2 linked regions of the Nothobranchius furzeri genome follow. The protein of the gene in region 2 interacts with the protein of the main gene of each other region in a biochemical or structural test. Links are inferred from orthologs where the notes say so. Each region holds a gene or a part of one and is shown on either strand. Other genes may lie near its edges. The genes, in order: kctd12.1 and gabbr2.

Region 1 (3,653 bases), on a different chromosome or scaffold from region 2:
CTTACTTACTTGCTTACTTACTTACTTACTTACTTACTTACTTACTTACTTACTTACTTACTTACTTACTTACTTACTTACTTACTTACTTACTTACTTACTTACTTACTTATTCAAACTGAGTCTTTCTGTGGAGTTTATCAGCAGTTTATGTCAGCTCACAGGAGCCAAGACAGATAAAATGGGACTGGTCCATCTTTATTTTTACACCTGTGTGCCTCCATGATGTGACATTTCCACAGCATCTAAAAGAAAATGCCTATGCAGATAATAACCAGAAACAGGTTGAGTTTGAGCTCACATTCACACAAGAATTATAATTTTCTACCAAGCTGCAAAAGTTTCTGCAATGTGTTAAAGCAAGCTGAGTGTTTGAGTCAAACCAAAAAGGGCGTGGGTGGGCGGTGGTCTGAACCCTGTTTTCCATTTTGGGTGAAGCTGACTGCACGCTGGCCCGTCATCGATTTTCCATTCATCCAGTCCCTGGCAGACTGCAGCCTCCTTTTTGTGTGCAGCTGGACCCTTTCATTATTTACACTTGAAATGATAATGACATCATGTGTGCACAGCTGCAATATTTGCATCCACGTTGCTGGATTTGTGTGTCAAAGTGAGCCTTCTGCTGCAGCTGTAACTAAACTCACGTGCAGCTGTGATTAAACAGAACCTTTCTGGAGTTGATGGAGCCAGAAAAGGTTTTCAGTTTTTGTTTGGTTGCTTTAGTGCCATGCAGGAGGAAGATTTCTGGGCTTTCATCCCCCCATGGAGTAAAGGCTGCAGAAGGGGGCAGATGATTTGGCAAAGAGCTGAGAATAAAAGAGTAGAAGATTGTTTTTATTTAGTCTGAACACTTAATAACAAACACAAGGAACACTCCACGCACATTTACAATCTCTGCAGCGATCAAACCGATAGAAGATCTTACAAAACTTGGCCAAACAAGTGAGTCTCGAAGTCACACTGAATACTAATGGCTGCTTCTGCTCCTGGTCTCTGCTCAGCTCTCACAGCTGAGTCAGATATGACTGAAACATTGACATGATGATCAAGATGATAGTTTATTATGCAATATAGAGCTTTGGATAAGTGTCGGGTTGGATGATGCTGTGCTCTCTTTGTACCTCAAAGCTGCACCGCTTATTCTGCTTAGAATCCGATGCGTAAAATCTGTTTTTGGCGCGTTTTGCGTTTTTCGCCTTTACTAAACGTCACCACTTTAAAGACCTTCCCCTCTAAATTATGACACATATTTACACGGAGAGCGGCACGGACGAGCCAGATGAGTACTATTCCCGACAGAATACATATTCGGTGTAGCTTGTCCAGATTTTGTCCTCGGTCGGGTCGTTGCTGGTGTAGGCGCAGGTGCCGGTGGAGCTGCAGGCCACCATGTGGAAACCCGCCTCTGTCAGTTTGTCAAACGCCTGCTCTAGAAAATTATACTTCAGATAGTAGCGGGACGTGTATCTCTCCGGGGGCCTGTCCGGATCCCTGCTCTCATTCAGCGTCTCCCCGAACACCTCTTTGGCCAGAGAAGTCTTCCCGCAGACGGTGATGCGCGCGACTCTCCTGAATTTGGCGTCGGTTTGGATGTCTCTGCCAATTGTGTAGGAGCCGCGGTATCCTATCGTGATGTAGCCGGAGCGTCTGGAATCCAGGGACGGGGAGCGCATGGCCCCGGTGACGGACATAGTGCGTAAAGTGTCGGTTCCACCGAAGGACTGCTGCGCGCCCTCCTCCGTGTCGCTCTGGCTGATCTCCTCACTGATCGAGTTGTCCTTACTCACCCGCGGGTTGAGGCGTTTGGCGAGGTCCCGCAGCAAGAAAAAGTCCGCCTCCCTCTGTAGCCGACTTTTCTCCGGGAAGTAGTCCGGCAGGACCAAGTTCAGATCACGGAGATAATCGAGGATGTAGCGGAACAAGAAGCCGTCCCTGTCCAAGAAGAAGCGCCCCTTGCTGTCCCTCGCCAGCTCCTTGGGGGACTTCTTACTGAACATGTTCCACAGGAGCGAGTCCGGGACGGCGATCAGAGTCTTGTGTCTGGTCACATAAACCTGTCCCCCGACGTTCAGCTCGATGATCTCTGAGAACAGGGAGCCGGGGTCCCCGCAGCAGGACCCCCCGCGCTCTGCATCTGCCAGTGCCATCTTCTCCGAGCTACTGCGCTGACAGGATCAGAGGAAAACACTGAGGTGCCAGTCCCAGCTGCTGGCTTATGAAGCCTGAGTTTAACACGTGCGGATGTGCGCGTGCACGCAGGGGGTGACTGTTAAATTATCATTTAACTATTGAGTTGCTGTCTTGTGCAGCTTTCTTGGTTTTACGCATAAAAGGCGGAAAAGCAGAGCCATGCGCCTTATCCGGCAGCTTCACCCAAAAAAAAAAAGTATCATCCATATGGGACTCATCTCAGCCTGGTGTCTTTCTAAAGCAGCACCTCCTCCTGAGGGTTTAAATAGTGAAATAAATGATGTTCAATTAGAATCTATGCTTTTACTTTGAAGGAACCATTAGAATGTATGGAGAGAGTGACACCTACAGTAGCTCCAATGAAATGCAGCCATGATCTCTCTCTCTCTCTCTCTCTCTCTCTCTCTCTCTCTCTCTCTCTCTCTCTCTCTCTCTCTCTCTCATTCTCTCTCTCTCTCTCTCTCTCTCTCGCTCTCTCTCTCCGGATTCAGCAGCATAACAGAGTTTAGTCAAAGTTTCTGCACCTTGGAATTTTTGGACACTTTGAATTGGTAAATGAAAAATAGAAATCAAGCATTTCTTCTAAGAAATTCAGCAGGATTAGAGAATGATTAAATTATCACTTTTTGTTCCACGTTTTAGAGCAGGAAGTGAAACATGGAACTGAGTTTGGTGTGTTTAGTTTTGACGCATGGATTTCAAATTTATTAATTCTTGTTCTTGTTTGGTTTTATTATCATTTCCTGAAATCCAGTTCCTTTAAGGGTTTGTACTTCTACATTTTCCCTATTAGATCTGACTTTGTGCATCTTCCTTTTTTTGGCTTTAGTTTTTTTTTTTTCCCTGTTTGGAAACCCACTGATGTTTCCGGATGTTTATTTATTTCTTCATTCATTCATTCATTCATTCATTCATTCATGATGGCTTCTCATCTCATGTGTGAACATTTGGACCTGCTTATTGTGTGTTTGTGTTGGGCACAACTATTTATCTCTTAAGATTTTGACCAAAGTGTCAGCTTCTTTTTCTTGACATCTGTAAAGTTATGAGGCTAAACTAAAAACGTCCAAACATTAGCTAAACCACATTATAAGCAGCACACATTTAGAAAAGCAGATGTTTTCAGAATTTTATAAGGTTAAAGGGACAATGTGGCCCGGACGAGCAAGATACTTTTTTAAGTTGAATCACTTGAAAGAACAATTGAAGCTTATGTCTGGAAACTTAGCGGCCTCATCAAGCTGAACCATTGCACGAACAAAAACCTCCCATATTTCATCACAGAGGTCACGTATGAACCTCTAAACATGCTGGGTGGACAGATTTAGCATGTAATGAAAATATAAAAGGTCAAGATAGGAAAGAATCATGTAAACAACACATCACTGAAGAGATATTAAACTTTTAAATGCTTTTACATGATAAAAAATATCTAAAAATTTACTTCTGTTGAACTTTTTATT
Region 2 (3,826 bases):
CAGTAACAGAATGGACCTTTGTGTTTCTCCACTTAATAAACTTTTCATATCATTATATTTCTGCATTTGTAAGTTGTATTCTCCAGAGAACCTGACAATGAAACATACAAAGATATTATTATATATGTCACATCGGTTTTCCAACTGAAAAGGTAAACAGACCTGTGGCAAATACAAACCATCAGCATGGCGCTCTTCATTACAGGATAGTACGAGCCCTTGACCCACAATAATGGCATTTGAACATTATTTTTATCCATGAAAACAACTGAAATGATTGATAACAGAATACATGCATTAAAACGAAATGACACCTCGTGATCTGCTTTTGGGGTTTTGGATGGTTTAGAAAAAATAATTTAGTATTTTTGTAAATTACAGGGGTGGTTTCATTAAAATTAACCAGTAGCTGCTGCTTTAGCTTTATTGCTCTCAGTAAACAGGTGCTTAACCAGTTTGATAGGAATATGTCGAGTTTGTTCACTGAGAATCTTGGCGTTGACGGCAGGATTAACGAAAACTCAGAAGGGAATCAACCAAATTGCAGATGAGAAGATGGAACAGAGTGGGTTTGTCACAACAGTTGCAAAAACAGAGGTAACTCTGTGAGTTATACATTTTATTTCATGCCATCTTGAGAAAGCCAATACCAAATACTCCATACATGGACACCATCATCAGGGTATCAGCAAATTGTACACAATCACATATAATGTCATATATAAAATGTGCAGGTTGGCTGTTTTTTTTATTTTTTATTTCTCCTGAAGGAAGAACCAACCCTCTCGATATCGTCTCCCCACTCACATCTTCTGTAACTGTGATTCTCTGGTTGGCAAAGGTGCAGGAGGAACTGTGACTCCTTGGAGATTCTGTGCTCAGGGTTTCCCTGCTCCTGTGCGTGGCAGGGCCTGGAAGGGGAGGAGTGGGAGTCACCCCGATATGTCTGACAGCAGTTGGGTCTCTGCTTGTTTGTATTTCCGCTCCACCAGTGTTCACAAACGAGGGCTGGAAGCGGAGCTACGCCCCACACTGTCCCGTTCACAGACACGTTAAGTTGATCTATGACACATTGTACAGTTTTACAGATGTGTGGCCAATGCACGTTGCTGGGTAAGCGCAATCCTGACCCAGAGTACGTAGTGTGGGTCCTGCAGGCTACAAGATAAGACAACAGGCACAGCGTTTAACAAACGCCTTAAAAAATAAAAACCAAGACACCAATGGTGAAACAATATGCTGAGAACGAACCTTCTCACTGCCGATAAAAAAGTATTTCACCCCCCTCCAACAGAGTTCCAGTTTGCTTTCCTTCTGCACTTCCTGGTTTTGTGAAAACCAACGATACTCTTGAAAAAACGTTACACGCGACGCTTCATCGGGTTTACATTTCTGTAGCAACGAGGTATGTTCACTGTTGCTAAGCATGAACGATTTTTTCTGGATACTTGGTCTGATCTGTGAAAGAAAGCCCTGTGTTTGTGGTGCACCTCCGTGACCAACAGCTGTGGCGTCGCTGCATGGAAACTGAAGCTACAGTCACTTGGGGCTAAGAACTCCAGACCTCCACGAGTCTACTGCCTTTATGACTTTGGATGGAAATTCAGGTTTCCCACAGTAAACCTACATTTTTTCCACCGTCCCTCGTTTAGTTTTGTTTCTTCTGAATTTGCTTCATTCCTTAGAAACTCTTCCAATTCTAGGTCAATGACACCCCCAATGCTCTGAATGGTAGTTAGATATGACATCTTAGTAATCCATATGGATAAACCCGTGGGTTTCAATACGAATTCATGCATCCTTAGCTGTAAATCATATGGTGCTCTTTTGGCTTTTAAGTGAACATCTGTATTTGTGCATTTCCTATTATGTAACATGTAAAATAAATCCTGTGGTGTTTTATTTTTTGTTCTATTTTTCTAACACATACTAGGAGACCTATTAAAAGACATAGCATCCATTTTCTGTAAGACATGCCTTCTGAAGATAAATCAAACCAGCCGTAGAGTATGGAAGCCTCAGCTAAGCCTGACAAGGGGGCTCTAACATAAACTAGCAGCGGAATGATGAGCAAAACAGAAAAAAGAGCACTGTGAACCTACGTCCAGATTGGACAAATATGACATGCGTCTGTTTGATGCCTGTAACCTACTATAATAATAGTTACGCTAACAAATGTATTTGGTATTCCTCTGATGTATAGGAGACTTTGTTTTGTAGGTTTTCAATGGAGATGTTCATATCTACTTGCTTCTGTTACACAGTTCAAACTTAAAAACCCCTTTAATCATCCATTCACAGCATATACACATTTTACAGTACATCAATGTTGGAAACGATGATATTTACATGTCTGCACAGGGTTGGAAAGGGGGTGGTGTCTTTCTGTTTTGTAGGATCTTGCACATTTCTTGTTCTTTAACTAATATCCAATCTCTGAAGCACTAAAATGCTCAAGTTCGATGACATGCTCAGATGTAGCTGCAAGCACATACAGTACATACAACAGATAAAAAAATTTGACAGAAACAAATAATCCCCTCTGAAGCAGATAAGGCTACACATGAGATTAGAGCTGGTCCACCGCAGCTGTTGGACTGTCATTGTGTTTGTGCATTTGTATCTGTGTTGTCTGTGTCTGACTGTGCATACGTGTATAGGCCTAGATTGAGGGGAAGATGGCCAAAGGGATGTTAATCACAAACGTTTTTAAGGACCGACACTCAGTTCTCAAGAGACTGGGGGTGCAGAGGTATAATGAGTGAAACTTGGTCCCCCCTCATTCTGTTCTCCCCAAGTCTTATATGGTCCAAGACAAAATACGCACAGACGCTGACGATATCAGTCTATTCGTTGTAGAAAAAAAAGAACCATTTGTGTCTCCTCTGCAAAACACAAGGTGGGAGGGATGCCGAAGCTCACAGGCCAGAGACCATTACTCGGTAGGAGGGGGGCATGTGTCTGTGCCTTGGGCTGGAACCTGGGCTTCCATTCGGGCTGGTGCAGCTGGCATCAACCCCACCTATGGAAGGTAGGTATGCATGGTGCAGAATGGGCAGCTGCAAAGACAGTCGACGCTGTATGCTGCAAATAAAGAAATGGAAGGAAAATTGTTAGATCTTACAATTGTGTGTGGTTGTTAGTTAGACATTACAAAATCTGAAAAAAATCACCCATGTCTTTGTTGTAGCAATGCACCTTGAAAATAAGTCTTATACTGTTGGGAAGTCTGCTTACTCCTACTTACTTAGGAAAATTCAATAGTGGGTTGCAACTAGAGGTGGGAAAAATGATCGATTCTAAGATGCATCACGATTCAGCCTTGCGTGATTCCGCATCGATGCAGCAACGTGACATAATGAGATTCTCTCCCTATCGGGGGTCGGCAACCGTGGCTCTGGAGCCGCATGCGGCTCTTCCATCCATCTGATGCGGCTCTCTGTGCTTGTAAAATAATGAATGGATATTTAAATGAAATGCTTTATATTTTACTGCATTAATTTTACATCTGTAAGCCAATTCTAAATGTAAAGATTGTCTGCGTAAACCTGAACAGGTCCAAACCGGTCTTACTGTGAGACCGGGTTGACGCGTCACGCTTGTGCGTAATCATATGCGTGTTCTGAGCTGACGAGGATGTGAGATTCTGGGATTCTCCTCAGACGGCTCCTGGATGTGTCGCCACATTGGAGACAGGAACAAGCGCTATTCAGCCAAAGTTTCATAATCAGGGAACATTTTCTACGTGACAAGTCTCGCTTCAGTCGGAGGAATCTTCCTGCATGCGCTCTGGTTCTGCGATGCGCTCAAAGCCCCTCTCCACATC

The links.
Region 1: the proteins of gabbr2 (region 2) and kctd12.1 form a complex in vitro, tested with the Homo sapiens proteins (2 studies listed by BioGRID). The link is inferred for Nothobranchius furzeri from reciprocal best matches to the Homo sapiens genes GABBR2 and KCTD12.

What each region holds. Positions count from the first base shown.
Region 1 is NC_091754.1:27,985,421-27,989,073, reverse strand, and holds kctd12.1 (BTB/POZ domain-containing protein KCTD12.1), read right to left. Parts: upstream 2,493-3,653; 5' UTR 2,148-2,492; coding exon 1,287-2,147; 3' UTR 819-1,286; downstream 1-818. UniProt on the Homo sapiens protein: Auxiliary subunit of GABA-B receptors that determine the pharmacology and kinetics of the receptor response. Increases agonist potency and markedly alter the G-protein signaling of the receptors by accelerating onset and promoting desensitization.
Region 2 is NC_091759.1:14,401,732-14,405,557, reverse strand, and holds part of gabbr2 (gamma-aminobutyric acid type B receptor subunit 2), read right to left. Parts: intron 3,085-3,826; coding exon 2,919-3,084; 3' UTR 1-2,918. UniProt on the Homo sapiens protein: Component of a heterodimeric G-protein coupled receptor for GABA, formed by GABBR1 and GABBR2. Within the heterodimeric GABA receptor, only GABBR1 seems to bind agonists, while GABBR2 mediates coupling to G proteins.